Macaca fascicularis: one gene and its partners. The protein of the gene in region 1 interacts with the protein of each later gene in a pairwise test. Links are inferred from orthologs where the notes say so. Each region holds a gene or a part of one and is shown on either strand. Other genes may lie near its edges. The genes, in order: ZYX, NEBL and IMP3.

Evidence for each region.
Region 2: the proteins of ZYX (region 1) and NEBL interact in a two-hybrid assay, tested with the Homo sapiens proteins (2 studies listed by BioGRID and IntAct). The link is inferred for Macaca fascicularis from reciprocal best matches to the Homo sapiens genes ZYX and NEBL.
Region 3: the proteins of ZYX (region 1) and IMP3 interact in binary tests that used the Homo sapiens proteins (3 or more experiments, as listed by UniProt). The link is inferred for Macaca fascicularis from reciprocal best matches to the Homo sapiens genes ZYX and IMP3.

What each region holds. Positions count from the first base shown.
Region 1 is NC_088377.1:185,244,624-185,255,350, reverse strand, and holds the start of ZYX (zyxin), read right to left. Parts: upstream 10,035-10,727; 5' UTR 9,965-10,034; intron 9,823-9,964; 5' UTR 9,808-9,822; coding exon 9,600-9,807; intron 9,134-9,599; coding exon 8,934-9,133; intron 8,791-8,933; coding exon 8,698-8,790; intron 8,583-8,697; coding exon 8,061-8,582; intron 4,026-8,060; exon of another isoform or gene 3,921-4,025; intron 3,288-3,920; exon of another isoform or gene 3,262-3,287; intron 2,833-3,261; coding exon 2,712-2,832; intron 2,600-2,711; coding exon 2,430-2,599; intron 2,342-2,429; coding exon 2,163-2,341; intron 1,264-2,162; coding exon 1,143-1,263; intron 527-1,142; coding exon 422-526; 3' UTR 1-421. UniProt on the Homo sapiens protein: Adhesion plaque protein. Binds alpha-actinin and the CRP protein. Important for targeting TES and ENA/VASP family members to focal adhesions and for the formation of actin-rich structures.
Region 2 is NC_088383.1:21,658,415-21,669,141, forward strand, and holds part of NEBL (nebulette), read right to left. Parts: intron 10,193-10,727; coding exon 10,082-10,192; intron 6,336-10,081; coding exon 6,225-6,335; intron 6,059-6,224; coding exon 5,948-6,058; intron 3,804-5,947; coding exon 3,699-3,803; intron 1,701-3,698; coding exon 1,608-1,700; intron 1-1,607. UniProt on the Homo sapiens protein: Binds to actin and plays an important role in the assembly of the Z-disk. May functionally link sarcomeric actin to the desmin intermediate filaments in the heart muscle sarcomeres.
Region 3 is NC_088381.1:52,860,231-52,870,408, forward strand, and holds IMP3 (U3 small nucleolar ribonucleoprotein protein IMP3), read right to left. Parts: upstream 6,096-10,178; 5' UTR 6,063-6,095; coding exon 5,508-6,062; 3' UTR 4,985-5,507; downstream 1-4,984. UniProt on the Homo sapiens protein: Component of the 60-80S U3 small nucleolar ribonucleoprotein (U3 snoRNP). Required for the early cleavages during pre-18S ribosomal RNA processing. Part of the small subunit (SSU) processome, first precursor of the small eukaryotic ribosomal subunit.

The DNA of each region.
Region 1 (10,727 bases):
TTTTTTTTATTTGTAGCTATAGCTACAACCTGGCAGCACGGGGGAGGGTGGGAATGTCCTGGAGGGTCAGGGCATCTCCCAAGCCTCCGCAAGCAGAGTACAAAGGCTGCTCCGGGGGCTGGCCGAGAGCGTGGGTGCAGCAGTGAAAGCAGCAACACTAAACCTGGTGCCCCGCTCAGGTGGGGTGTCTGGAGGACGGTGGGCAATCCCTGCAGGATGGGCGAGGACTAGACCCCAGGGTGGGGACCCAGCATCCCTAGGCCATCTTGGGCCCTGGGTCAGGGCACCTGGGATGCTAGAGTGGGGTCGGGAATGGGAGGGGCTAAACATCAAAACAATAACTGAGGTGAGGGCAGGTGGTCTCAGTGTGGGTGGTCCACGATGGGGCATGGACTGCGGTTTGAAGAGGGCCTGTCCTCACTCAGCTCTGGGCTCTAGCAGTGTGGCACTTCCGACAGAGCACGTGACCGTCCAGGGGGAAGCAGCCATTGTCATCTGCCTCAATCGACAGGGGCTTCCCGCAGTCCTGGGAAGAAGGAAGGGTGAGGGGCACTGGACCAGAAGGCCCCTGCTCTGCTCCACCCTACCCCACCCCGTGCAGCTCCATCGTGGAATTAGAAAGATGCTTCATGGCTCACAGCTGGTGTCATCGCATTTTCCAGCCACACCCAACTCCCCATCCCTATCCTGCTTCCAGTCACCCACTAGCACCTTCCTGCAGGAGGGCAAGCAGTGGGTAGAACTGCTTCCAAGGTGTTTGCTCCCCTGCCCGCCACCGCCCTAATAAAAGAGAGGTTTGGGGGCCTCTTCCATCCTGGCTCACCTCCATTCGAAGACTTCTTCTCTCAACTCCTGTCTCCCCATCCCCTACCACAGTAAAACACCATGCCCTTCCCTCCTATTGGCTTGTCCTGTTTCTTGGCTTATCCATGACTCAAAGTGACCTCAGAAGTCCCACAGCCCTGTTTCCTGCAGCGGCAGGAAGGATTCAGGCAGGGCAGATGGGCTGCCATCATGAGCCACCCTCAAAATCACAGCCCTGTTTCCTGAATGCTGGCGCTTTCCACCACCCAGTTAGTAAGCAGCATCTCCCGCCACCTCCTGGTCGGAACCAGCCCAAGGAGCCCAGAGGGATGGCTGACCTCACACTTGTAACACTTCATGTGGAAGTTCTTGTCCAGGGCAACCACTCGCACGGTCTCATCTCGGCCAGGCTCAGGCATGATGGGCTCAGAGCAGACGGAGCACCTCGGGGCGTACTGCCTGAAGGGGGAGAAAGGGCCAGCAGTTAGCCAGGGCTTTCATCCCCTGTGTGCACACACAGAAGCCAGGCTGTGCAGCCAGGAGGCAGACTTCTCTGCCCTGCATCTCTAGGTGGAGGAAGCTCACCAGAAGGGCCTAAGACTGAGCCACCATGACTGGCCCTCATCAAAGGGAGTTTCCTGCCTCCCCAGTCACTCTCCCAAAGCAAGATATCCTCCCACACACCTGCCACGGTGTTCTCTCCCACTAGATCCTTACTGTCCCATTCACACTGCAGCTCCTGCAGAAAGCCAGCCCTGAGGTACCCCTCCCATCCGATCCTGCTTCCCTGACCCTCACCTTCCCCCAATCCACCCACCCCAACGCATGTTGCCTCTGCCCTGACTGCCTGGCACTGTGGAGGGATGTGAAGTTGTGGCCACCCCAGGTGGAATCCTAAAAGTGTCTGCCCAAACACTGACCCCCACTGGAGGTGGGGGTCAGATTCTGCACTGTTCCCACAGCTGCACTGAGGTTCTGTGGGTCAGCCTGGAAAAGGAGTCACCTTCTAAACACTGTTTCTGAGGAGAAACCAGATTTCCAAGCAGCTGATCTCCAGAAGAACTTTTAGAACCCAGCCTGTGTGAAATGAAGTCACTCCAGCACACTTCACGAAATGCTGACATAGACACACAATAAGCTTCAGTGATCAAGGACGAGGGAGGGACCAGCCAGCAGCAGGACTCGATGTCCAGGCCTAAGGCCCCTGGACAGCTACATCCAGATGACTTGGTCCCTGCTGTCTACACACAGGACATGGGACCAGAAAGCAACACCAAGGGTTTGGGGCTGTCCTGATGCTAGGGTGACTACCAGACCAAGCGCGGCAGAAGCCCAGAAGGCAGATGGCAGGTCCTCACTTGTGGTAGTCGGGGACACAGTGGGGCCGGTTGGCCTGGTCCACAATGAAGGAGGTGCCCTCCAGGGGGCGGGCACAGACCACGCAGGTGAAGCAGTGCGGGTGATAGGCCTTGCCCGTGGCCCTCAGCATGCGGTCGGTGATGGGCTCCCCGCAGGTGTTGCACTTCTCCAGGGTGTCCTGAGGAGGCAGCAGGAGGAGGTTGGCAGGGAACTGGCACCCCACAGCCAGCTTCCAGGGCCTGACTGCCCAGCACAGCCCAACTCACAGTGTAGCAGCTCTCGCAGTACGGCGCCCCCTCCAGGCTGTAGAACTGCTGGCCCTGGAGCTGCTGCGCACACTGGTGGCAGGTGAAGCAGGCGATGTGGAACAGCTGCCCCAGAGCGCGGACGGCCGGCTGCGCCCGGGCCAGGGGTTGATGGCATCGACCGCAGAGTTCTGGGAAAGCCGGAGAAGACAGCAGTAAATAGAAGGAAGTATGTAGGGCTGTGAGGGATCAGCCCGCTCGGATAGGGGGCAGGGTGGGGCTGTCCCGGTGGGGTGGGCTCACCGTTGACGGCCACGTTCTGCCTCTGAGGATGCTCCATGTCCTGCATTAGCTGCTGGGTCAGCTGCTCCAACTCCTCCACCTCCTTCAGAGTCAGGGGCCCTGGGGCCCCAGGGGAGCGCACCTGCAATCCCAACACTTTCTTCACACTCTCGAGGGTTGCTGCCTCCACCCCCCCAGGCCAGCCTACCCGGCTTCTTCCGATGAGGACTTAGCTCCCAGCTCATGTCCCAGATGCTCAGGCTTGACCCTTAAAGCTTCTCCCTTGTCCCCCTACCCCCGCCATCCCCAGCACCACACAAATAACAGGGGAAGAGGACCTAAGCCTGGATCTCGTACAGCAAGACATTTCCGCCCGCTTTGCCCAAACCCCCTGAGCAGTCACAGACAGGCCAGAATGACTGAGCAGACGGAGGCCACGCACACAGCAGCTCGGGTCACTGAAGCACCAGACACTCCAGGGCCACGCATCAACTCCACAGAGCATGCTCGGACATCACCCCCATGGGACAGGGGCACGCAACAGCGTGCACACACGCGCACACACACCTACCCGGCCTGCCTGCTGCTGAGCAGCCCCTGTCAGCGTGGGGATACAACACAGGCAGGAATTGCAGGTTAAACCCACTGAGCTGTCTGCAAGAACCCAGCCCCACCCCCACACAGAGACCCTGTCCCTCGAGTGAGGGACTTCTGGACTACCTTACTCAGGTCCCTCCCCAGCAGCCTCAGAGAAGGTCCAAAGGCCGTCCCCTAGGCCAGTCCAACCTTTCCATTCAGGGGATCCTGGGGACTGGGGTGGGGAGTGGATGAAGGACAGCGCCGCCAGTAACCCTGAGAGGTAACCCTGAGAACTCCAGGAGGGGCTGTCTGACCTGCACGCCCACAGGAGCAAGTGCACTGGGTGGGTCTTTTCTATGTCTGGAAAAGCCTACCCAGGACCATGTCCCCATCACCGAGTGTGCTACCTGCGGATGCCTTCATTCCCGTAACACCTGGAACCTCCAAAGCTCCCCTGCTACCTCCTTCCATAGCCCCTCTCCCCTCAGCCCTGGCTTCACTGCCCCTCACCCTGACCCCTATCTGTACCCAGAGTTGCATCCTTTCTGCCCAGTGAAGCATGCGTCCATAGAAGTCCAACTCCCCAGATCTTAGCCATTTTCCCTTAAGATCCTGCCATCTCTTAACTGACTCGTTCCCTGGAACACTCACTTCAACTTTGTCTCCTCCAGTCTTCCCTTCCTGGCATCTCGGGGACAGAGTGAAGGGCCTCGTCAGTCCTTGCTCTCCAGTGCCATTCTAAATGCCTGGCTCCTCCTTCAGAAGCACAGAATCCTCATGTGCATCACCTCCCATGGGTATCCCCGTTCATCAGGACCCTCTATCCAGAACTGTCCCCTCTGCCAGCCTGCACCAATGCCACCGCTTCAAACCAACCTTCCCTCCAACTCAGTCATCGTCCATCATGGGACATCCTTGACCTCAGATTTACCTCCAAGTCCCCTGCCAGCCATGATCTGCCTCTCCTCTTCCCCATCCACACCTACTACGCGAACCCAGAAAAGCCTTAGTTCCCCCACCCGCAACCCACCCCTGGACTTTGTCCACCATGCCCCAGCCTGGTCCCCTGACCATGTACTCCTACAAGGTTCACTGTCCCTCCGGGCACCTGCAGCCACCCGCAGCTATCCAGCCCAGTCTCCACCCCAAGTCACACCACCACCCGCTTCCTGTTTCTGCTTCCAAGCTGCAAAAAGCAGTGGAGAGGTCGCTGAACACTGCAGAGTGAGCTCACAACACTGCAGCGCCCGCACGACCTCCAGCCCGGCTTCCCCACAACAGCTGTTCCAGACCTCTCCATCTTCTTAGCCGCGACCTGCTTCACCCACTTGCTGGCACCATGACCTCACCTCCCACATGGCTGAGGACATGGAAGCCAGCCAGCTTAAGCTCCCTCATCGTCCTTCCTATCCACACTGCAGCCACTCTGTCCTTGCTGTCTGGGATGCCTCTAGGGGGAGGAGACATCACCAAGATCTCTTCCAAGGACTGAAGCAGGCTGACCCTGCTTTCCCACAACACTCACCCTCCATCACCTGCTTCCCCGGGTTACACACGTACTCGAGCCCTTCTCCCCTAACTTGCAAAAACCACATACACTACACCACAGACTGATACACCCTCACACATACATACCCACACACCACTCACATGCACACATACATACACCACACACCACTCACACATATACTACACACATTCACACTCACACATATACCATACCACACACACAAACACCACTCACATGCACACTCACATTCAGATATACCACACCAAGCCAGGCACGGTGGCTCACGCCTGTAATCCCAACACTTCAGGAGGCCAAGATGGGCAGATCACTTGAGGTCAGGAGTTTAAAACCAGCCTGGCCAACATGGTGAAACCCCGTCTCTACTAAAAATACAAAAATTAGCCAGGTGTAGTGGCACGTGCCTGTAATCCCAGCTACTTGGGAGGCTGAGACAGGAGAATCGCTTGAGCCTGGGAGGTGGAGGCTGCAGTGAGCATGGGCGACAGCCTGCACTCCGTCTCAAAAAAAAAAAAAAGGATATACCACACCACACATACCACTCACACGCACATGTATACACGTACACCACTTGTGTGTATATGTGTGAAAGTATGTATGTGCTCATTCGCTTGTGCATATTCATACATATATATACAATGAATGTATGTGCTCATTCGCTTATGCATACTTTCACACATATATACACAATGACACACTATACACATCACACTGACACACCACTCACACATGCACACACCTTAGCTCACACATGCACACATATACTCATATACACACTTTCACACAATCACACCACACTCATGCCACTCATACATTCATGCTCACACATGCACATATACTCACATACACATACACCATACCCACACCCACACACTAACACACACACCATTCACACACATGCGCCACTCATACATTCACATATGCATATACACACACACACACACACCACACTCACATCACTGATACACAGTCCTTCCCTTAGTCCTTTTCCCTGCCAATCTTTAAGACCAGGCTACACCAGTAGCCCCACTTCTCACCACCCACTCTCTCCTCAACTCCTCACATTGTGTTCCCACTACAGGGCACAAACAGGCCATCCCAAGACCGGTGATGATTTCCCAACAGTCTAATCTCTAGCCTTGAGTCCTCACTCCCTCAAATACCCCGCTGAAGGGCTCAGCTTTCTTCTCCAAGTGCACCCTGACTCTCCTCCTGACTCTTCTTCCCACACCTCCCAGTCCCTGCTGTCTGTACTCCCTGGGAAGCTCCTCAGCTCCGACCCTGACCCTCCAGCGTCACAGTGTCACTGTGTCCCACTACCATGCTAGACATCTCTGGCCCTGTCCTGAAACCTGGCCCTGAATTTCTAACTGAATGACGGCCCCAGCTGAAAGTTCTCCTGGGACCTGTTGCTCAATACGCTGACAGCTGGACCCCTCCTCTTCCCGTCCAAACCATTTCCCCTTCTGGACTTCTCTATTTTGTCAGCAATCTTGTCATCCGCCCACACCCCCAATCTCCAAATCGCCCTGGAGACTTTGTTTTTCCTCTTCCCCTCACCCTTGTCTTCCAGTTGCTTATCCCTGGCTAAGTCCTGGAGGCTGTGCCTTCCCAACAGCTCTGGCACACAGCTCTCACATGCGGGGCTTAATATTCATTGCAGCTAATATTACTATTGCCCAAAAGTGAACTCATACCCATCACTGACTTCCCTCGAATACACATCTCTGCTGGTGAAACTTTCCAGAAAGCTTCCAAAAACACTGCTTTCACCAGCCCTCCTGACCCACCCTGCACCTACTCAAAAATCATGAATGTGGCCGGGCGCGGTGGCTCAAGTCTGTAATCCCAGCACTTTGGGAGGCCGAGACGGGCGGATCACGAGGTCAGGAGATCGAGACCATCCTGGCTAACACAGTGAAACCCCGTCTCTACTAAAAATACAAAAACTTAGCCGGGCGAGGTGGCAGGCGCCTGTAGTCCCAGCTACTCGGGAGGCTGAGGCAGGAGAATGGCGTGAACCCGGGAGGCGGAGCTTGCAGTGAGCTGAGATCCGGCCACTGCACTCCAGCCTGGGTGACAGAGCGAGACTCCGTCTCAAAAAAAAAAAAAAAAAAAATCATGATGCCTCTCCAGTGCTCAAGAGCTCCTTGGGTGAACCACTTCACCTCCTACGCCCTCCAGCCCCGCTTGCCTCTCCAAGTACAGCTCCATCATTTTCCTACAGGAACCTTCCACTTTCTGCTCTCCAAACATCCCTCTCCTCTCCGGATTCTTACGTCCTGCCCATCCTTCGAAGCCTCTCCTAATTTGCCAGGCCCCAAGTGGACTTCCTGGTCTGAGTGCCTGTGACTCACAGGATTCTGCAAAGCTCACTGGTCCTTGGCATTTCTTCCTATGCTGTGTCTGAGTGTAAGTAGACATCCACACTATCAGTGGACTCTATGGATGCTTGGACCAGCATCATCATCACCAGAAACTGGAAGGTCTTATTTCCTGAACTAGAAGGCAAGAACCATTTTGTAATTACAGCTTTTGTATTTTGAGCATTCATGTGCTAGATACAGAACCCAACACTCTCTAGGTTATTAGTTCACCTAATCTTTACAACCACTGTATGGAGTAGATAATGTTAAAGATTGAGAAACTGAGGCTCAGGGTTCACCTAACTTGCCCAGTCTAAGGGCTTGGGAGAAGCCCGAACCAGGAATTCCATTCCAGGTCCATCTGACACCTGAAGGCTGAGCTTCTTGCAGAGATCTCGTCCTTCCCATGTCCTACCCTCCTGAGCACAGAGCACAGTGCCTGGCACGTGGTAGATGCTGGCTCAGCCAATGTTTACTGGGGCTGACTCTTATCTCCAAGCCCTCAGGCAGAAAGAGTGCTCAGAGGAGCAGGGAGATTAACTCAAGACCCAAGAATGGGAAAAACCAAGGTGGGACTGGTGATCTCATCCCTCCCTTTAACTTTCTGGGGTAAAGGCGCAAGGAAAGGTCCACCAGATCCTCCTAATTCAGAGCCTGTGCTCTCTGTGCCCTCCCAGCCAGGCCCCACCCAGCCCCACACCCAGCCAGGCCTCTCCTCCAGAAGAGCATTTTCTTACCACTGTTCCACCAGGCTAACCTCAGAGGATGAAACTTCCTGTCCCGCCACCCCCGTGTCCACCCTGACTCTCCAATCACCTTCATGCTTCTGTTCTGGCTCCTGACTCAGCCCCGCCCCAGCACCCGGGTCCCAAGCCTTGTCCTATCACCATCCCTTACCTGGTTTTGGTTCTGAGCCGGTGCGGGCACTGGGTGCTGCTTCTCCTGCACTCGGGGCTTCTCCCTCTGCTGAGCATAGGTGAAGCTGGGAGGTTGAGGGGAGCCTGTGCCAGCGGAAAGAGCTTCGGGATGCCCCAATTTTTGATTTGGCTGTGACCCAGATCCACCTGGGGCTCCAGGACTGAACTTGGAAGCCACGGGAGTAAACTTAGGAGTCACTGGAGAAAACTTAGGGGCTGGAGCTGGCGATGAGGCTGGGGGACCTCGGGGCTGGGTGTTAGCCAAAGACACAGGCTGGGGCTGGGACTGGACATGGAGTTGGACCTGAGGCTTGGGCTGGGGCTGGGGCTGAACATGGAACTGTGTCTGGCTCTGAGCTGGAGCCGGAACCTGGGGCAGAGGCTGGGAGCTGGAAGGGGCCTTCCAAGGAGGCAGGGGTGCTGTGCCCCCAGCTGCAGGCTTAGTACTGGACTTGGAAATGAATGGAGTGGCCACTGGTGGGGGGACATATCCAGATGACACCTGCAAGGGGTGGGAGAGGGAAGAGAGATGCAGACAGGAGGACACCATCCTCCATAGCTCTATCCCCTGTCTCTCTGGCCCTGGGCCCTGCTTTTCCTACTTTGCGGTCCCTTACCCGAGCTTTGAAAGGATCATTCTTGGTCATGTCATCCAGCAGTGAGGACAGAGAGTCGATCTCCAAATCAATACTGCTCACCTTCTCCCTGGGCTAGAGGGTCAGAGGTCAGAGCACCTATTCCATGCCTCCATTCCCCCCACCCCCAAGGCAGAGGTGCAGGGGAGGTAAGAAAGGGCCCTCTTCTCCTCGCCTTGGGGGTGTCCGGTACAGCCGCCCCTCCCAGGCCTCCATACCTGCGGTGGGGACGGTATGGGGGCCTCAGGCCCTCCCTCCTCTTCCAGAGGAGGCGGCGGGGAAGGGAAGATCTCCTCCTCCAGAGGCGCAGGGGGAAATGATTCCTCGATCGGCGGAGGGGGCGGCGGGAAGGCACCTCCCAGAGCACCCTCCGCATCGTCGCCATCCCCGGCGAGGGGAGGTGGAGGCAGGGGAAAGTCTGGGGTAGGAAGGAGAAAGACGTCGCCCGGGGTCCCTCTGCCCCTCACCCAAGCTCCCCTCGGTTTACCGCTCTAACCCCTAACCCAAGAATTCTCTCGAGGGTCCCAGAGCGTGTGGGGACGCAAAGGCGGGGCGCAGGGCGCCCTGGGAGTACCAGGTCAGGAAAGGCCGGGGGCACGGCCGAGGAGTGGTGCAGCTCCCGTTACACTTCGGAAAACGGACCCGGAGGGGAAGATTCGTGCCCCACATTCCCGCCTCCCACCCCCAAGCGGGGGACTTGGAACGGTCCCAGGAGCTCTGGCTCCCAGCCACGAGCTCCACGATGAGGTAAGAACATCTGCTCGGGACAGGGTGGCTGCGCCCAGCCCCCTAGGCAACAACCTTTCCAGACATCCCCAGATTCCCGAAACAGTGCCCCCCCTCCGGCGCCCGCTGGGGTCCAGCCCCCAAGCCCCGCCGCATACCTTCCGGGGGCGGCGGGGGAATCTCGCCCACCCGGCCCATCTGTGCGCGCTGGGCCCCGGGTGCCGGGGGAGGCTCGCTGTCCCCGGGCCGGAAGGGATTCACTTTGGGTTTTGGGGCCACCACAGGGCCGAACTTCTTCTGGGGGGCGTAAAAAGCCGGAGCCGAGACCGAAACGGAGATCGCGGGAGACGGGCGGGGGGCCGCCATGGCCGGGCCGGGCTGCTGGGGTGGGTCGCCGGGTTACGCAGCGCAGAGCCCGGCTCAGGAGCCCCGGGCGGTCCCAGCTCCCCTTGGCGACCCCCATGCGCCCCCTCCCGGCGCCCCGCGCCCCCTCCCCGTGGGGCCGCCCTGCCGCTCCCCGCACCTCACCGCGGGCCGGAGCGTGCGCGCCGCGTCTCGGGTGGCCTCCTCGGCGCCGGGTCCACGGACTCTGCGTCCCAGTCCGGAGCAGCCTCCAGCCGGGCGGGGAGGGACACACGGAAGGAGGAGGGAGGGAGGAGGGAGGGGGCGGGGAGAGAGCGGCGCCCAGACCATACAAGGAGCGGCCCGGAGAGGGGGCGGGGAGAGCGGGGAAGGGCGGACCAGGCAGGAAACTCCCCCAGGAAGGGGCCCTGATCCTGCCTCAGGCCAGAGGCTCCGCCGAGGTCCGCCCGCCGCCACCCCACTCCACTCACTGCCGCCCCCGCCGCCCCGGCCCGGCTCAGACCCCCGCTCCCTGAGCACAGGCCTCTGATGTCATTTCCTGACCTGCCCTCCCCCCATGCCCGACCCGCGGGTGCCCGAGATCTGACTCACAGTCCCCCTCCGGGCTTAGCCGGCGGAGGTGGGGCGGGTGCCGCAGAGGTAGCCACGCAGCCCCTGTGCGCCTCCGGCCCGGCCCAGCGACCTCCTCTCCGGCCTGCAGTTACCCGGTCCCCTCCCGCCACCACCCGCTACCCGACCACCTCCGAGTCCGCCTGGGGTGGCCGAACGTATGGAGCTGGGCTCCAGGGTGCACAAGGATGGGGGATGAGGAGCGGGGCGTTCTCCCTCCCAGCACCCCCCAGCTGACTCTGTGCCCGGAGCGGGTGTGTGAGCTGGAACCTCCAGCATTCTCGGGGATACGAACTTCCAACGCTGGGCAGCCT
Region 2 (10,727 bases), on another chromosome or scaffold:
TACTACAGAATATTTATAATATTAAATCACAGTACATCGATGGGTGCATTTTAAATATTATCATTGGAAAGTGAAGGAATGAATATTTTATACTTCTCTCCCAAACTAATTTCTCTACTAGGCTAACACAGGCTCTCACCGTGAAAGATAAGAAGAACACATTCATCGACCTTCATCCACACCTTAAGCCTAGGACCTCCTTATGCTTTCTTCAAGAGATAGCTCCATGCATGCTACAGAGGTTTTATTGCACTGATATTCTGCAGACTTTTTATACTTTTATTTTGAAATAGCTTTACTATTTCATTCTCTTACCTCTCCTACACTTTCTTCACAAATGCTGACCCACGCTGATATTCTCAGGATGCTACATAATGACCAAGTGACCTACAAATGAGTCTAATCAAGGCCATTCTGCTTGGACTACTTAAAGGGAAGGAACTCTTTCCAAAGGTAAGGGTGAAGAGATAAGGCAGAGGAAGGGATTTAAAGAACCAATTATTTTCACTTCCTCAACAAGAAACTAAATGTAATGGACAGGCACAGTAGCTCATGCCTACAATCCCAGCACTTTGGGAGGCTGAGGTGGGAGATCACTTGAGGTCAGGTGTTCGAGACCAGACTGGCCAACATAGTGAAACCCCATCTCTACTAAAAATAAAAATAAAAAAATTTGCCAGCCGTGGTGGTGTGTGCCTGTAATCCCAGCTACTCAGGAGGCTGAGGCAGAAGAATCACTTGAAGCCGGGAGGCAGTTGCAGTGAGCTATTGCACCACTGCACTCCAGCTTAGGCAACAAAGCAAGACTCTGTCTCAAGAAAAAGAAAAGAAACTCAATGTACTAAATATACATGGGAGAATATCTAATTGGTAAGGAGAGCAATGATCTATCGCAAATGTCAAACACTCCATGGAAAAAAAAAAAAAAAAACTTATCCATAACATTAAGCACCTTAATGTTAGAAGCACCCTTCTAACAGAAGGGGACCCTTCCCCCAAGTCTAAAGGTTATTGGAAGGTAAGTTATTTCACAATTTACAGTGAAGATGTGTGATTTGTTTTCACTTTTGCTGGAAGAAGCAGAAGGTAAAAGGGGCTGGAAAGAAGAAATGGACAGAAGTGTGTCTGATAAAAAGCTTAGAGATGTGACTGACATGGGTTAAAAATGAATTGGTACTATTTGCTTTTTCAAATCTAAACCTTCACTTAAGCTGCCAAATAAATGTTCTAGGGCCTTTAATCATTCTATCAGGGAAAAATTTCTTTCTTCCAACTTGTGGAGAGGTACTGAAATGTACCCTTTCTCTGCAAAATTTAATAGAGTTAAAATTCTCTTCAAAGAGATGAAATCTAATCCTAAGTTTCATTAAAATGACCTGGCTCTTCTTCACTGTGATACATCAGAATGAAATACTGCTTCAGAGTCAAGGGGAACAAGGATATAGTTTTTGTTCTGACAGTTAGATCTTTGATATATGATGAAATAGCATTTCAATAAAGTGAAGAATAAAAGGAAAAAAGCCATCAGTTGAGTAAAGAATTAAAAACATTTGTCTACAGTTTCTGTTTGCTTTTAGAAAAGATAATTAATGCTGTAGAGAACTTACTGAACTAATATTCTGCTGATTTTTCTTCACTCGTTCGATCTCTGGGGTATGTTTTACTGCAGTGCCAGCTCCTACTTCTTTCTTATAAAATATCTTTATTATAAGAAAAGGAAAAGAATAAGCTTGTCAAATTCAAGTCCTAGATCTGCTTCTGAAAAAGACATTTTCTCAGGTTTTATAATAATACGAATACCGCATCTGAGTGCCAGAATTATAGAAACCAATTAAATAATCCATTAAGATAGTAAATAATCCATTAAAATAATCCATTAAAACTTTGGTTTTATATCCCATAATCTTACAAGTAACCCTCTCCTGCTCTAGGGCTAGACCGCTACCATGGCTGACTACAGATTATTTGCTTTAAGAATACACATTGACAAACCAGAGTTCCTTTCTTCAAATATAAATATATGTCACACGTGTATTTGAGAAAAAGCAGATATTACAAAAGCCCATTAAGCCATTATCACTGAATTCAAAAAGAGCATGACATTTTAGGCAACTTCTATTCTCCAAACACAAGGATGCCCATATTCTCTTCCAAGAAAATGTTAGCTCATCGTCAATATCAATGTTAATTTCAAGTCTATCTTCTTCATCTTCCACTTATTTGTTAACCCTCTCCCATGTGTCTCCACCCCCAGTAACACCTACTCCTTCCAAACCCAAAGCAGAACAAAAACACAAGAGTATTTATGAGTGCTCTCATTATGAGTACTCTGCAGAAAACCAGAGTAATTATAAGAAAGACAAATGAGGAGAGAATCACTGCCTTTCTTGACATCTGGTAATCCAGTGGCCCCCGCACGGGTGGGAGAGCACTGTAGGAGAAATGTTTTCCTCCAAAGGCTAGAACTCTAGAACACTATGGAATCACACAGCCTCCTTTCCTGATCCTTCCAGTAAGACTTTTCCATTTCTCAGTACAGACTGGCCATCCCTGTGGAGACCCAGCAGGCACCTGACCAGCTTACCCTGAGAGCTGGCACATGCCAACTAATTAGGAGGTAGGAAATATTCCAGAAGTCCTCACACTTACTAGAATTTATATTTTGATGAGATGCTTGCTTAACTATTAATGACTGAGCTAATTCTATGTTAAAATATTAGTTGTATGGTCAATTTTTACAATTTTAGAACAGAAGTCAAGTTTATACATTTATTAATCATGGACCCAGTCTCTTAATTAATAGTGCTGATGTACTATTTACAATAGCAAAGACATGGAATCAACCTAAATGCCCATCAATGACAGACTGGATAAAGAAAATGTCATGCATACAAACCATGGAATACTATGCAGCCATAAAAAAAGAATGAGATCATGGCCTTTGCAGGGACATGGATGGAGCCAGATGCCATTATACTTAGCAAACTAATGCAGGAACAGAAAACCAAATGCCACGTGTTCTCACTTATAAGTGGGAGCTACATGATGAAAACACACGGACATATAGAGAGGAACAACACACACAGGGGCCTATCAGAGGGTGAAGTAGGAGGGGAGAGAGAGGATCAGAAAAAATAACTAATGGGTACTAGGCTTAATACCTGGGTGACAAAACAATCTGGACAACAAATCCTTATGACACAAATTTACCTATGTAAAAACCTGCACAGATACCCCTGAACTTAAAAGCTAAAAAAAAAATAGTGCCAATGCAATTCCTCTTCCTCAAAATAAAAATATATAAGTTTAGAAATTTATTAAGAATGAGTAAATCGCTAAATATATTATTAGTAAAAACAATCAATTACCAGGAATAAAATCACTTCATATGACCATTTTCATCTTCTAAGTAAAATCTGTGTAGAAGACTAAGACTTCTTTCCAGAGTTAAATTTTAAAATTTAGTTAACTGTCATTTGTATCAGAGGGAAATTTGAATTTGTAATTCCAAAAAAACATGAAAATTGATAATTTGTAAAAATTATCAGTATTCTTATTATTTTAAAGAAATAAAGATAATACACTTGACAGAAAATTCAAGTAAGACAGCAGAAAACATCAGACAATGAGGAAAAAAGACCATTTCTTACAAAACAAAATTTCAAGGTGGCAACTGAAAAGAAATAATGGCTACTCACCACACTAATGTTTTGTTGAGTTGTCTTAATTCTCCGAATTTCAGGAGTATCTGCTATGGTAGAATAGTTAGAAAGCATCTTCTCTGCTTCATCTTTATACTTTCTCTAAAAATAAAAACAGTTAATATAAATCTGAAACTGTGTGTGTGTGCACGTGTGAGAGGGAGGGAGGGAGGGAGGGAGGGAGGGAGGTGGAGGGGGAGAGAGAGAGAAAGAGAGAGAGAGAGAGAGGGAATGATACCATTCTTCAATCTCTACCATACCACATGGCTTCTAGATTTATGCTTTGTTTCCTACTTCAGGTGAAAATAGATTTGATTAAGGGAAAGTTACCAGTATTTTGAAGTTGAGATTAAAATCTTAATTTTCTCTCCACTAAACCAGCTACTATGAGTTCTAATACAACCCAGGCAATATCTTATCCTAGTACCAGCACTTACATTTACTTACTATGTAATGGGTATTGTTCTAAATACTTAACACACATTAACTCATTTAATCAACCTGACAAGCAGATACTATTATTATTTCCATCTTATAGATGGAGAAACCGAGGTACTAGATAGTAAGTATCAGAGCTGCAACTTAAAACCAGGCTGATTCCAAAATCAGTGAAGTTAACTATTCTGGCAAACTACTGCTTATTAAGAAAGGTAACTACTTTTCATGTCGAAATGCACCAGGCTTCATTACACACTCTTAATATCCCCATTGTATTTCAGTGATTAAAATCCCTTAAAATTAGATATAGTCTCACGTCACACTAAAAAAAAAAAAAAAAAAAAAACTATGCTATTAAGTTAAGGCAGGAAATCTGACAGCTCAGGCACCTTCACTCTCAATACGTTTACTTTCAGGTGTATCTATCATGGTTGTAACACTATATTTACATGATTATTAGATTTGTCTGTAGCTTTCCAAGGGCAAAGTCATGTCTGGTTTTGCATGCAAATGGGTACTCAGGAGGTATTCACCAACTGAAGGAATGAGTTTGGCATTCTTGAGACAGTAAGTAACTCTTCTCCACTGACTCAAATGTCCATTTGCCTGTTTAATGTATTGACGTAGGATTTTAGTTCAGCTGATATGGCCAGAGCCAATGTCTCCAAGTTCATGGACACCGAGAACAGAAGAACACACACTTCAGGACCATCCCAGTGGCTGTGTCGTCTGCAGAGGCTGATAGGCACACAAGTCCTCTGACATTTGACGCTGCCATCTTGATACTACCCTTTTGAACTAGTGGATGGTTAATGTCCTTGCTTATGTCTTAATCAGAATTTTAACAAATTTCGCCAAATGTTGTTACACATTCCTTCCTGCATAAACTCCATTAATCAAATTAAATTCTATGGTCAATTTTATATAACCATTTTCTTTTTGTTCATTCCTTCTACTATTTTTTTTCCCATTGGGAGTCATTTATTTTAGTAAATGTTACAGCAAGGATACTATTTGCTAATGAATGTTTTTGCCCAAGTCAGATTTTATAAATAAATTCTTCTTCCATAAATACTTTTTGTGGTCATTACTTCTCCCACATCCAGCTTTGTTTACAGAATATGGGACAAGTATCTTTAACAAATCTAAATTTTACCAAGAAAACTTCACTGTTCCCTCAATTTTTACCTAACACTAAACTTCACCTTGTACTTTGTGCAGCTTTAGTCACTGTTAGTTTTATTTGGAACCATTTTAATAATAATATTCATTATGAAATGGTTAAAAGACAAATAGCTTGTAATTTATTTTTCTGTGGTATAAGCAAAAGCATTTGAGCCAAGTGTCCAATAGGGTAAAAAAAAAAAAAAAGAAAGAAAGAAAAGGTTAAAATATCCTTGGGCTGGGCACAACGGCTCATGCCCACTGAGGCAAGAAAATAAGCTTGAGCCCAGGAGTTTGAGGTTGCAGCAAGCTACGATGGTGCCACTGCATTCCAGCCTGGGTGAAAGAGTGAGACCTCCATCTCTAAAATTAAAAAAAAAAAAAGTTTTAATGTCCTTGGACTCAAAACAAGGAGCCCCAACAGAGAGACTGTAGCTCTCCTTAATGTCTGTTGCATTGAATCTATGACAGTTGTCCTATTCATTAGTAAGGTTAATCAAGTTTGGCCAATGGTTTCTCAGTGAAAGAGTATACTAACTCTGAATGCAATACCCTCAGAAAGATATCATTCATAGAGACATACAAAGCACATGGCAACATGACATTGGAAAACATGATTCTGAGCATCTTCATTCTTGACCAACCTGGCTATAGATTTCAGATGTCCTCTTGGCTCGAAGGATATCTGGGATATCCATGCTCACTTGCATTCCTCTCCCTTTAATTTCATTTTCTAAGTCCTTCTTGTATTGTTTCTAAAAGAACAGAAAATGATCTTAGAACTTTGCTTAAGCTTTAATAGCAATGTTGACATTTACGTGTTTGAATCTCAAAGCCACCCATGTGAAAAGAACACTTATGCTCTTTCTAGCTATGATTCACGGCATTTATTTTAAACTTTGTATCTCACTGCTGTCTTACCTGGCTGGCCATCTCGGATGCTTTCTTAGCTCTCTGGACATCAAGAGTGTCTGTGCTCACCTGCATCCCTTTCCCTTTAATTTCAGTCTCCAGATCTCTTTTATAGTCTTTCTGCAGAAAATGAAACACACAGTTAGTGCTCTCCGATCATTTGAAAAACGACTCAAAAATCGAGATGTTATTTGACAGCAAGACCATGTCTTTTGGAATGAAGTTGAATCCTTATTTCTTTTATTTCTATAGAATAAGAAAGAGTTTTTACTTGTGGTAGGACTATGACTTAGCATAACTTATTCACCAGTAATCAGAAGACTTTTTTTCTGCTAATCTGAATTAAGAAGAAGAAAAACAGAGCTAGCCAAGGGGAAAATTTAACATTTCATTATGATAAACTGGATATATTATTGGGTCATATACGGCTTGCTGTTTTTCACTCTGTAGTGAATACGTGTTGGCTGTTTCCCCGGAATCCACCCTTTCTTTTCCCTTCATTGGCTCCCTAACTTGCCACTGGACAACTCAGTGCTCCTACTCCTAAACCATCCAGCTTGGGTGAGACTGGCTCAAATCTCTGGACTCTGCTGGGCTTAAATAAATCATTACTCCCTTCACTGGCTCTCTGATTTGCCACTAGACAACTCAATGCTCTCCCTCCTAAACCATCCAGAAACTGGCCCAAGTCTCTGGGCTCTGCTGGACTTAAATCATTATACCCCATCACCCACACTGCAGAATTGGTTCCAGGATGCATGCATCTTTTTTTCCACATAAGAGGTGCTGGAAGCTTCTTTGCAAACAAGAATGTCTACCTAAGAACTGAAAGCTGAAACTAAATCTCATTATTTGAGTCCTAGATCAAGCCGTGCCCAGGAATTTCTCTACCGTTCAATCATAAGAACAACAAATAAGTTATCTGCGTTTTTTTTTAAGCCAGTTTGGAATTGGATTACCTATTTCTTACAAGATAGTCATAATTGCACAGACACACATGTCCTTAGGGACTTTTGTCACATTTGAAAACTGATTATAAAATTCAACAAGCCGTACATATATAAATTTGCATTTTCTATATGTATATTATTCTTCAAAGAAAAATGTTATTAAAAAACTATTAACTATAGCCAATTAAATTTGTTTTAAAACAATTCTTTCTTATTATGCTGACACACTCCAGATTTGTAGATTCTCTGCTGCAAAGTAAATATTGGTTTGTTTATTAATAGATCATCAAATTTAGATAGGTGGTAAACAAAAGTGTCAATCTTGGAGTATTTTTCCTCCTGTCTTCCACTCATAACTCTTCCCATTTTTACTGACTTACACTCCCAGTATCACTTTTCTAAATAAAAGTTTACATAATTATGTTTAACTTTCAAAATAATAATATTCAATTATTACTATGTCTATAAAAAGCACTCTGTTTCAGCCTGTTTAAAGCCCCAAAACAAAATGTTTCATTTGAAGGCCAACAAATATGATGAAACTGAAGCACTCATAGCAGACAGCCATGAAGGTCCAATGGTAGAAGGATGTAACAATTTTCCAATATGAACTTTCAAATGTAAATGTGTTCTAAAGCACACAGACTACATTAGACACCCTTGGCATCAGTTATTTGTTGTCTGCATAACAAAACACCCCAAAACTTAGAAGGTTTAAAACAACAACATGGCAGCATCTGTGTTCAAAGAGGGCAAACCCTAATGCAGAAGTGTGTTTATAGCCTCTGTCTGAGTCACATTTGCTGATGTCTCATTGGCTAAAGAAAGTCACATGGTCAAACCCAGAGCTATGGGAAGGCTTGACTATTGAGGGTCATTTGTGTTACAATATGATCCATTGACTTTATTTGAAAAATAAACTTTCGATATTAAAAACAAACTCTGGCAAAGTCCCAAACATTGGTTGAAAAGGATCTGAGCCTATCATTTAGGCAAAATGGGACATGACTATGATTAGATTATTATTATTATTATTTGGGGGGTTTTTATTGACTAAGACTCTCAGCCTGAGAATGGAGACTTCACCAGAGCCAGATGAATCAATTTACACTGGATGTGACTGGAAACCACTAAATAATTGCATGTGAGGAGAGGAACAAAATTTCATTTAATTCCGTCAAGGATTCTTCTGCTGGGTTGAGAATGGCTACTAGGAAGGCAATAATAGCAGAATTCTGGTTAGGAAGCTATGGCAATGATCTAGAGGATAGAGATGGTGGCTTAGACTAGGGTGGTGAGAAAGATGGATTTAGACTGCCACGATGGGGGTGACATCAATAAAGCATGCTGATGACAGGAATCAAAGTGACTTCTATGCTTTGGTTGGTACCATTTGCTGGGAAGCAGATGGAGGAAAGCTAACCTAGGGGAAAATTAAGGATTCTAGTTTTGGCCTGTAATGTTGAGATCCCATTATATACTTCCCTTGTAGACAACAAAAGATAAAGGGTCACATATTCACATCCATGTTATAGAACACTTAATTTTTCTATAAGAATGAGGTAGACCTATATGAAGGAACACAGAAAAAAAATCCATAATATAAAGAGAGAAAATAATCAAACACTTAAATGGAGTATGACCCCATTTAAGATTTTTTTAAGTTTTTGTGTGTACAAGTATATATTTATCTATATAAACACAAAACAGATTTGGAAGGTTCCATAACAAACTTATAACAATGACTATCTCTTGGGAGAACAGAAGTAGGAAAGTCCCTGTTCCTCACGCTCCTGGCCATCCACCCCTGGCCACCACTTCAAAATGGAACACTTATTGCTTAGGAAACCTATACCATCTCCACTTCCTTTGTCTTATTCAATCATGGCAATCCCATTTCCCTGGTCAGTACCTAACCCTGGGGATGTCAGTCATTTTTAAAACAACAGTAACTTCCGTAGCAGCTAAGCAGCTACCTCTAGCCTTCCAGATTTCCTGTAAGGTGTCAGTCCTGAGTCAGCTCTTCCTAAGTGCAAAGGTCACACAACAGGTCTCAGAGTACCCCACTGAAGCCCCCACCCACCCAGTCTTGAGATAAGTGAGCAGGACCCATTCACCTGCATCCCAATTTTTTCTTCACATACACTTTTATAAAATCATCACAACCCAAATCTTTACTCCAGTGATCCTTTTATATTCTCAGATTTTTGTGGGGAAGTTCAAGAGGTGTAGAGAAAGTTCTAGGGTATTTCCTTTGAAATACATGTATATGGTCCGACTCCTACAACCTTGTGATGTGATATCCATCCTGTCACAGAATTTAAGACAAAACTTCTAAATCAATATCCTGTATCCCATGAAGAGAAAAATGGTATTAGATGAATGAACATGGTCAATCAGGTTATATAAGACCTCCACTCAAAATGCTGTGTAGAAATTTCATGCATGCTGATCATGTCAACAAAGGCTATTTTAAGAACATGCAATCAGACAGAAATGATAGTTGTACTCACATTAAGCATCCGTATATGAAGTTCTGCTCAGAAATTTGGAAATACAGATATGCCAAGCAGCAGGTGATCCATTAAAAATACCATGAAAACATTTCTCATAGCCCAGGTAACCATTAAATCTGTTGTATTCTGAAGTAAGGTGTGCAGGGGAGTGCATGTGTGCGTGTGTGTGTATTCAACTAAAATGCCTTCCACCAAGCTTTTTTTGATATATTGGAGGGATGTGAGCAAAGCAAAAACTGTACATTTTCAAACAGGCATAATGCTGTGGAATAGTCTCCATTCCAAACTGTTAAACCAGCCGCAACGCTTTGAGAAATTCCATATAGTAATCAAGTTGCTAATACGATTTGTTAGGTTCCACAATATGAGTCTTAAGGCCTGCATCACGCACCCTACTAACCTCACTCGCGATCTCTGCAGCCTTCTTGGCATGCTGCATTTCAAGGGTGTCAGAGCCAGCTTGCATTCCTTTCCCTTTAATTATTGACTCCAGATCTTTCTTGTATTCTTTCTGCAAAAGACATGTTACAACATTCAAACACTCAGTGGGCAAACATGCATCTGCAGTCAATGATACCAAAAAAAATAGTTAAACCTATTTTACAAAAGAGGTAACAAAGCTCCTTGAGTACTACGAATGATCACTCACAACTAAATTTTCTGAACTACTTAGAACGATAATCTTGTTCTCACTGAAGAAGGGCGTGCAAAGCTCCAAAGATGTTTGGTATACAAGGGCAATTGCCATGTGAAAATCTTCACTGACAATTGTCTTTAGGGTTGGAGGATAGGGAGGTGGATGTAAATGAGCTGATGTTATACAGAACAGATGAACTTGGGAGGCCACAGCACTCACCAGCTGTGTGACACTGAGAATGCTCAACTTTTCCAGTTTGCTCATCTGTAAAATAAAGGCAGTAATGCAGGCATATCTCATTTTTATTGTGCTTTACTTTATTGTGCTTTGCAGATACCGAATTTTTTACAAACTGAAGGTTTATGGCAACCCTGCTTGCCAAGCAAGTCTGTCAGTGCTATTTTTCCAA
Region 3 (10,178 bases), on another chromosome or scaffold:
TGCTTGCCCCCACACCCAGCTGATTTTATTTTATTTTATTTTTTTAGAGACGGACTCTTGCTCTGTTGCCCAGGCTGGAGTGCAGTGGCGTGATCTCAGCTCACTGCAACCTCCGCCTCCCGGGTTCTAGCAATTCTCCTGCCTCAGGCTCCCGAGTAGGTGGGATTACAGGTGCACACCGCCACGCCTGGCCAATTTTTTGTATTTTAGTAGAGACAGGGTTTCACTGTGTTGCCCAGGCTGGTCTCAAACTCCTGAGCTCAGGCAATCCACCAGCCTCAGCCTCCCAAAGCGCTAGGATTACAGCACTTAGAGCGTTTACAGCACTTTCAGCCACTGCGCCTGGCCTGATTTTAGTATTTTTAGTAGGGATGGGGTTTCGCCATGTTGCCTAGGCTGGTCTTGAACTCTTGACTCAAGCAATCCCCCACCTTGGCTTCCCAAAGTGTTGGGATTATAGGCATAAACCTGGCCAAAATCCCTGATTTTTATCCCATGGACCCATGGAATGTTACCTGCCCTGTAATTTTTTTTTTTTTTTTTTTTTTTGGGAGACAGGGTCTTCCTGTGTTCCCCAGGCTAGAGTGCAGTGTTGAGATCACAGCTCGCAGCAGCTTCTACCTCTTAGGCTCAAGTGATCCTCCCACCTCAGCCTCCCTGAGTAGCTGGGACCATAGGTGCATGCCACCAAGCCCAGTTACTTTTTTTTTTTTTTTTTCCCCTGTAAAGACAAAGTCTTGCTATGTTGCCTAGGCTGGTCTCAAACTCCTGGGCTCAATACTCCCACCTCAGCTTCCCAAAGTGCTGGGATTACAGGCGTAAACCACTGCACCTGGCCCCTGCCTTATATTTTAAGAGGTCTACTTTCACTCCTGATTTTCAGCTCATTTGCTGAATGAGTGAGTGATTTGGTTCATCTCTGCTGAGACTTTGCCCTTCCATGCAGGGAAGCAGCCTGGCCCCAGGTAGGGGGGAAATGTCCTTTACAAACTGCCCAGGGGCTTCAAAGTTGGGACCCATTCTTGGATTTTTTTTGGGTTTTCTTTGAGATGAAGTTTTGCCCAGGCTGGAGTGCAATGGCCTGATCTCGACTCAGTGCAACCTCCACCTCCTGGGTTCGAACGATTCTCCTGTCTCAGCCTCCTGAGTAGCTGGGATTATAGGGGCCCGCCACTATACCAGGCTAATTTTTTGTATGTTTAGTAGAGATTTCTTTGTATGTTTAGTAGAGGTTTCTCCATGTTAGCCAGGCTGGTCCGGAACTCCTGACCTCAGGTGATCCACCCGCCTCGGCCTCCCAAAGTGCTGGGAATATAGGCGTTAGCCACTGCATCCAGCCTTTCTTGGATGTTAAAACCAAGGTTTGTCCTAAAGATTGCACAGCTTTCCTGAGCCAGGGCTGGGGATTGTTGGGGCAGCAAAGCACCTCTAAATTTTTCTCTACTTTGCAAGTGTTGACAGCACTCTTTTATATCCTTTTCTCTAAATCAGAAACAGAGCAGAAACTAGAGCCATCTCATCCTGCCTCTTCCTATCATAGAAGGGAGATGGAGGGAGGCCTAGAGAGAGAAGCAGCTTATGCCCCTAGTCCCACAGCAAGTCAGAGGCAGGCAAGACCCCTTTTCCCTGAAGTCCCTGCAGCCTCTCTGCCCCTCTGGTGCTGGAATAGGATGCAGCATCTGTGTGATGTTTGCTCTGTGCCAAGCACTGGGCTAGGAACAAGCCCTGTGCTTTTCAAAGTGTGGTCCCCTGACTAGCAGCACCAAAATCACCTGGAAACTTGTTAGAAATGCAAATTCTCAGGTCCACCCCAGACCTCCTGAATCAGAAACATGAAGGGGGCCGGGCGCGGTGGCTCATGCCTGTAGTCCCAGCACTTTGGGAGGCCAGAGGTGGGCGGATCACGAGGTCAGGAGATCGAGACCATCCTGGCTAACATGGTGAAACCCTGTCTCTATTAAAAATACAAAAAATTAGCCTTGTGTGGCGGCGGGCGCCTGTAGTCCCATCTACTCGGAAGGCTGAGGCAGGAGAATGACCTGAACCCGGGAGGCGGAGCTTGCAGTGAGCTGAGATCCACCCACTGCACTCCAGCCTGGGCGACAGAGCAAGACTCCGTCTCAGAAAAAAAAAAAAAAAAGAAAGAAACATGAAGGGAGTGGAGACAGCATTTGTTTTCACAATCTTTCCCAAGGTTCAAATGTGGCATGCTCAAGTTTGAGAACCACTGCTCTAAGCCATAGTAGGCTCACTCCCGGTGTAACTGAGTGGCTAAAATTGTAGAACCCAGAGCCAGAGGGAATTAGGTGCAACCTGCCTCCATCACTAACTCTGTGACTCAGGTAAGCTATTATCTTTGAGCTTTAGTTTTGTCAGCGATAAAATGGCCACAATAGTGCCCATAAGGTTGTTGTGAGGACTACATGAGACAGCACAAAGCCTAGGGTATAGTAAGCACTGTCGGGGTAGCCATTATTAGCTAGCTGAGTGATTATTTATTTTATTTTTTATTTTTTTGAGACAGTCTTGCTCTGTTGTCCAGGCTGGAGTGCAGTTGCACGATCTCGGCTCACTGCAACCTCTGCCTCCCGGGTTCAAGCAATTTTCCTGCCTCAGCCTCCCAAAGTGCTGGGATTACAGGCGTGAGCCGCCATGCCTAGCAGATTTTTTTTCTTAAGTCTAAAGCTTTTATTCTTGTTTTATTTATTTATTTATTTAGAGACGGAATCTCACTCTGTTGCCCAGGCTGGAGTGCAGTGGCATGATCTCGGCTCACTGCAACCTCTGCCTCCCAGGTTCAAGCTATTCTTCTGCCTCAGCCTCCCAAGTAGCTGGGTTTACAGACATGTGCCATCACATCCGACTCATTTTTATATTTTTGCTAGAGACGGGGTTTCACCATGTTGGACAGGCTGGTCTTAAACTCCTAGCTTCAAGTGATCTGCCTGCCTCGGCCTCCCAGAGTGCTGGGATTGCAGGCATGAGCCACCGCACCTGGCCTGAATTTTGAGGTTTTTATCTGCTTGGGTCATGGGTGCAGGATCCAATTACTCCAAGGGGGCTGATCTATCTGCCATGCCTTGTGGGTCTGGAGGGCCACAGAGGTCCTGCCTTGTACAGTCACTTTCTTTTCCTCCATGAGATCCACAATCTTGGGAGTCCTGAGGATGTTCCTCCAAATGGGCAGACTATGCCCAGCCACCAGAGCTGGAGAGCAGGATTCTCTCTCCTTCCACTTCTAAAGGGACAGCACTGAAATAAACATGGCCTCTGGAGTCACGTGAGACTGGACTTGAAACCTAGCCTTGGACAAGTTCTTATTCCAATTGTTTCCCAAACTGAAGTTACAGATACCACCAACTACCTTGCAGAGTTGTTGGTAAGAGTGAATGGCAGCCTAGCATTAGCAGGGCCTAGATGAGAGTTCGTTCCCTTCCTAACTTGAATATCACCTTTTCCTTAAAGCCTTCCCAGTACAATGTTTGCTCCCTCCTCACACCTTTATACAGCATCCTGTGGAGACCGATCACATTGTCTAGTGCTGCTGCTTTTCTCTGCTGGTTTGTAAATTCAAGTTCAGAGACTCTTTCTGAACTCTGACACACACCAAGGGCTGGGTGTGCTGATACTGACACAGTCCCAGTCCATTGCTTACTGGCTACATAATCTTTGGTAATTTGACCCAGCTCTGCCTCAGTTCCCTCATCTGAAAAGTTGAGAATTGGATTTTCCACTTTATAGGATTGTTGGGAGGTTGAAATGGGCCAATACAGGTGGTGCACTTAAAAATGGGGCTGACATATAGCAGAAGTACTTGGTATGACATCATCCCATGATGTAGTAAGTCCCCTTCTCTACATCATTTCTTCACCAAATGCTGCCTCACCTGGGGAAGCGAACAAGGAACCCCTAAAAGCCAATCCACTGATCTCAGCATCCTATTTATTCTCCTTTTAGAGGACCTGGCCAAGCACGGTGGCTCACACCTGTAATCCCAGCACTTTGGGAGGCTGAGGCAGGAGGATTGCTTCAACTTAGGAGTTTGAGATCAGCCTGGGTAACATACCAAAACCCTGTGTCTACAAAGATTAAAAACTAGCCAAGTGTGGTGGCACATGCTTATAATCCCAGATACTGGGGACGCTGAGGTGGGAGGACGGCTTGAGCCCAGGAGATGGAGGCTGCAGTGAGCTGTGCCAGCTCCACTGCACTCCAGTCCGGGCCTTGTGTGAAAAAAAAAAAAAAAGAAAGAAAAGAAAAAAATAATAAAGAAATCTTGAGTAAAACTTGGTAGTCTCCCTTCTAATTCTCTATCACTGCTGTCATCTAAATTTTCAGGAACCTCCCAGGCCACTTCTAACCGCTAGATGGCCAAGCTACAGGGTGATTATTTCCTTAGGCAAGCAAACATCCCAGCCCTCTAATACGGTATTTCCTGGGGCTGGAATATCAACAGGAAGTTATGTGAGGAAGAGCTCTGCCAAAACACTCATTCCAAGGAAGGGACTGGTAAAGTGACAAATTTGCCCAATCCTGTACAACATCCTGCATCCTCCACATCTGGCCCCTGTTGCACATCTCATCCATAGGCAGATCGCTCGCTGCTGACCCTATTCTTCTCTGGGCTCCTAGGACCTATAAATATGACTCTATATAAGAAAACCAGAGTCTGGGCACAGTTTGCTCATGCCTGTAATCCCAGCACTTTGGGAGGCCGAGGCGGGCGAATCACGAGGTCAGGAGTTCCAGACCAGCCTGGCCAACATGGTGAAACCCTGACTGTACTAAAAATACAAAAATTAGCCGGGCGCGATGGCGGGTGCCTATAATCCTAGCTACTCGGGAGGCTGAGGCAGGAAAATTGCTTGAACCCGGAAGGCGAAAGTTGCAGTGAGCCGAGATCGCTCAACTGCACTCCAGCCTGGGTGACAGAGCGAGACTCCATCTCTAGAGAAAATAAAGGAAAACCAGACAGATTAAAAAGTTGCACTTACAAAGCAGTTGGGGCATTTATTGGCATTTAAACAAGGGAGGAGATCCTGAACACTAGTCTCGCTCAGTTTATAAAAACTTAAGGCCAAACTCTCCATCATCTGTACACAGCTTAACCACGGCCAGGAGCAAGAATTGGAGTTAAACGAATTGAACCAGTCCAACTACAAGACTAGATAAAGGGAAACAGGGCGTAGGGATTTGCGGTTTTTCCTTTTAGATTACCAAGTTTCCAACACAAGAAGCCAACAATACCCCAGTGCAGCACCAACTTACTTCCCACTGCTTTCCAAGGCAGAGTCAATTAATAATCAGTAGTCCAAGTTCTAAGAACATTTCCTGGAAAACAAGGACGCATCTCCCGTGGCTCTATGCAAGGCCTGCCACTGATGAATCAAGTTCTTAAGAACCTACGACCATCTGACACCCTTGGGGAAAGCACCCTCATAGAATCTCCAGAATCAGGCCTCAGTTTTCCCATCTGTAAAAGACAGCCATGGAAAGTGGGAGATCCGCTAGGCTTCCAGATCGAAGTCATCGCGCTCCTCATTGTACTCCAGCACGTGCCGCTTGATCTTGGACGAGTCCACCCAAGTGACAAAGTCCTCCATGCTGCGCGTGACAAGGAAGGCGGGGTCGGTAACCACATCAGGGCCCACGCGTACGTGCCCTTGCTCCACAAAGGCTACGGCAGCCTGAAGGTGCTGCGCCATGCGCAGCTTGAGGAGCACGGTGGGAAGGCGGCGGCGGCAAAAGGACGAGGCCGTGACGAAGTCGCAGAGTTCTAGCGAACCGCGCGTGGGCACCAAGCCGAGAGCATACAGCTTGTCCAGCAGCGCGGCCGAAGCGCGCACGCGGAACTGGTCGCGTTCGGGCAGGTCGCGCAGGCGCCGCGCCAGTTCACGGACCGCACGGCTCAGCTGGTTGTAGCGCGTGTAGTCCTCACGCCGCTGCAGCCGGTAACGCCGCAGTACGCGCAGCTCGTGCAGGTTGTGGTCGGTGACCTCCCAGTTCAGGAAGTCCACCTGCTTCAGCAGTTTCTGCTCGTGGAACTTAAGCTTCCGCACCATGATGGCGGCAGCCGCAGCACCAGGACCCGAAGCAGATAGTGCGTTTCAGTACCCGCGCGATTTCCGCCGCGGCGCACCAAGACCTGGACGGTCTGGGACCCTGGGCCAATGAAAGAAAGGCTTAAAGTCACGCCCTCATTTTCCATTGGCCAGGGTGGGACCACGCCCAAGCACTGGGATCTCGCGTTTCTTTTCTGCGCGTTTGCATAGGGAGGGGGTAGAAGCATTGCGCGGGGGGGCGGGTCCCTAGGCGGCTACGCGGGGTTTTTAGTAGCCAAGACTGTATCCCTTTGTGCGGCAATCATTTCCTCCTAGACTTCTGTCCTTTGGGGACTTTCAGAGTCTCCCCCGCAAGAGCTGAAGAGGCCATTTCTGGGGAAGAAGGGTGACTGCGGCTTGTTGATTGGGTTTACTGTGCTAACTTCCACTGGGCTCTTGCCATGCCGTGGGGGAGCTTGCCGGAGCCGGCTGTCCTGGGACTGACCTGGTAGTCCCCGCCTCCCGCCAGCGTCAGGTCCTTCACCTGGCAAGCAGAGCGATCTCTCATTGTCACGTTGGGCTGGGTAGCACCGAACCCATGAAATCCCGATTGCCTGGCCGCTTCCTAAGCGCACATTATAATCGGGATCTATAAGGGAGCCGCCTGGACATCTGTATTATTAACTAAGGTGTCAGATGATTCATAAAACCCAGCAAGTTTGAGAAACTTGGACTATAAGTACAAGTCCAAACCCTTTAGTCTGTGCTCAAATGAATTATCCTGACATAAATTTCTGGCCACCAAGTATTGAGTTAACAAATGTAATGCTGTTTCGGCTAGTTGCAGCTGTAAGTTACATCTGGTGTAGCGCTGCAGACCTAACCCCTTTTTGCCCAGGCATTTAACTTCTCACTGATCATTTTTGTTTTGTATGCTTTTCATTGTCTTTTACAATACAATATTTCTGGGTGGGGCGCGGTGGCACACGCCTGTAATCCCAGCACTTTGGGAGGCTGAGGTGGGAGGATCATTTGAGGCCAGGAGTTCAAGACCAACCTAGGCAAAAAAAGAAAAGAAAAGAAAAGATAAAAGCGAGATCCTGCCTCTGTAAAAATTCTTTTTTTTTTTTTTTTTTTTTTTTTTGAGACGGAGTCTCGCTCTGTCACCCAGGGTGGAGTGCGGTGGCCGGATCTCAGCTCACTACGAGCTCCGCCTCCCGGGTTCACGCCATTCTCCTGCCTCAGCCTCCCGAGTAGCTGGGACTATAGGCGCCCGCCACCTCGCCCGGCTAGCTTTTTGTATTTTTTAGTAGAGACGGGGTTTCACCGTGTTAGCCAGGATGGTCTCGATCTCCTGACCTCGTGATCCGCCCGTCTCGGCCTCCCAAAGTGCTGGGATTACAGGCGTGAGCCACCGCGCCCGGCCAAAAATTCTTAAAGAATTAGCCAGGCATGGTGGTGTGTGCCTGTATTCCTGACTACCTGGAAGGCTGAGGTGGGAGGATCACTTGAGCCCAGGACTTGGACACTGCAGCGAGCTACAATGGTGCCACTGCACCCCAGCTTGCACAACAGAGCCAGACCCTGTCTCAAAAAATATATATATTTAAAAAAAATTCGATATCTGGAAAATAATAAACATAATATGTAAATTATAAAGTATAATAAATACTCATGAATTTAGCCAGTTTAAGAAAACATCACCAGGCTAGGCATGGGGCTCATGCCTGTAATCCCAACACTGGGAGGCCAAGGTGGGAGGATCACTGGAACCCAGGAGTTCAAGACCAGCCTGGGCAACATAGTAATACTCAGTCCCTGTGGACAAAAAAAAAAAAAAAACATTAGCGAGGCATGGTGGCAGCACCCATAGTCCCAGCTACTGGTGGGGGTTTCGGGGTAAGAAGGGGGAGGATCCCTTGAAGCCAGAAGTTCAAAGATGCAGTGAGCCATGATCACACCACTGCACTCCAGCTTGGGCAACAGAACAAGATCCTGTCTCTAAAACAGAAAACTAATACAGATCATTTGCTTTTTAAAATCTAATGGTTTTTTTTTTTTTTTTTTTGGAGACGGAGTCTTGCTCTGTCACCCAGGCTGGAGTGCAGTGGCATGATCTTGGCTCACTGCAACCTCCGCCTCCTGGGTTCAAGCTGTTCTGTCTCAGCCTCCTGAGTAGCTGGGACTACTGGCACCCGCCACCACGCCTGGCTAATTTTTTGTATTTTTAGTAGAGATGGGGTTTCACTGTGTTAGCCAGGATGGTCTCCATCTCCTGACCTTGTGATCCACCTACCTCGGCCTCCCAAAGTGCTGGGATTACAGGCATGAGACACTGCACCCGGCCCCAGAGTAGGTCTTACTGAGAAGGTGATATTTTATAGGGTGTAAGCCATGTGTGGATATCTAGAGGGAGAACATTTCAGGAAGAGGAAACAGTGGAAATGCCTTAAGGCAGGAATGTGCCTGGCATGTCAGAAGAATAAGAAAGCTATTTTGGCTGGAGCAGAGTGGGCAAGGAGGAGAGGAAGAGATTAAAGAGCTTGTAGTCCCTTGAAAAGACTTTGGCTTTTATGTTGAGAGGCAGATACTTCGGGATTTTGAGCAAAGGATTGACACTTATGTTTTTTGTTTGTTTTTGTTTTTGAGATAGGGTCTCACCCTGTTGCCCAGGTTGGAGTGCAGTGGTACAACCAGGGCTCACTGCAGCCTCAACCTTCCAGCCTCAAGCGATCCTCTTGAGTAGCTGGGACTACAGGCACATGCCACCATGCCCGACTATTTTTTATTTTTTATTTTATTATTATTATTTGAAACAGAGTCTTGCCCAGGCTGGAGTGTAATGGCGTGATGTTGGCTCACTGCAACCTCCGCCTCCCAGGTTCAAGCGATTCTCCCTGCCTCAGTCTCTCAAGTAGCTGGGATTACAGGCACCTGCCACCACGCCTGGCTAATTTTTGTATTTTTGGTAGAGATGGGTTTTCGCCATGTTGGCCAGGCTGGTCTCGAACTCCTGACCTCAGGTGATCTGCCCACCTCGGCCTCCCAAAGTGCTGGGATTATAGATGTGAGCCACTGTACCCGGCCGCTAATTTTTAAATTTTTTGTAGAGATGGGGTCTCACTATGTTGTCATGGCTGGTCTTGAACTCCTGGGCTCAAGCGATCCTGCTACCTCAGCCTCCCAAAGTGCTGGGATTACAAGCATAAGCCACCACACCTGGTTCAGAAATTCAATTTTGGACATTTTGGGTTGGTGGCATCCATTAGACTTCTGAGGGGAGATGTCAAGGAGAAATAGATATATGAGTTAGGAGTTTTTTTTAAAAAGGGCTGGAGATTTTAAAAATTGGGCATTACTAGAATGAGTGGTATTTGAAGTCATTCGGCTGGATGAGATCATCAAAGGAGTGCCTGCGGATACAAAAGACAAGAGGACAACTCTACTGTGGTTACTCTAATGTTAAGAATTATAGGAGGCTTGCTGGGCACCGTGGCTCATGCCTGTAATCCCAGCACTTTGGGAGGTTGAGGTGGGCGGATCACGAGGTCAGGAGATCGAGACCAGCCTGGTTAACATGGCAAAACCCCGTCTCTACTAAAAGTACAAAAAATTAGCCGGGCATGGTGGCAGGCACCTATAATCCCAGCTACTCGGGAGGCTGAGGCAGGAGAATGGCATGAACCCGGGAGGCAGAGCTTGCAGTGAGCCGAGATCACACCACTGTACTCCAGCCTGGGCGACAGAGCAAGACTCTGTCTCAAAAAAGAAAAAAAAGCCGGGCGCGGTGGCTCAAGCCTGTAATCCCAGCACTTTGGGAGGCCGAGACGGGTGGATCACGAGGTCAGGAGATCGAGACCATCCTGGCTAACACGGTGAAACCCCGTCTCTACTAAAAATACAAAAAACTAGCCGGGCGAGGTGGCGGGTGCCTGTAGTCCCAGCTACTCCGGAGGCTGAGGCAGGAGAATGGCGTAAACCCGGGAGGCGGAGCTTGCAGTGAGCTGAGATCCGGCCACTGCACTCCAGCCTGGGCGACAGAGCGAGACTCCGTCTCAAAAAAAAAAAAAAAAAGAATTATTGGAGAGAAGAGGATGAACCAGTGAGGTAGAAGGAATATCAGGAGAGTATGTTCTC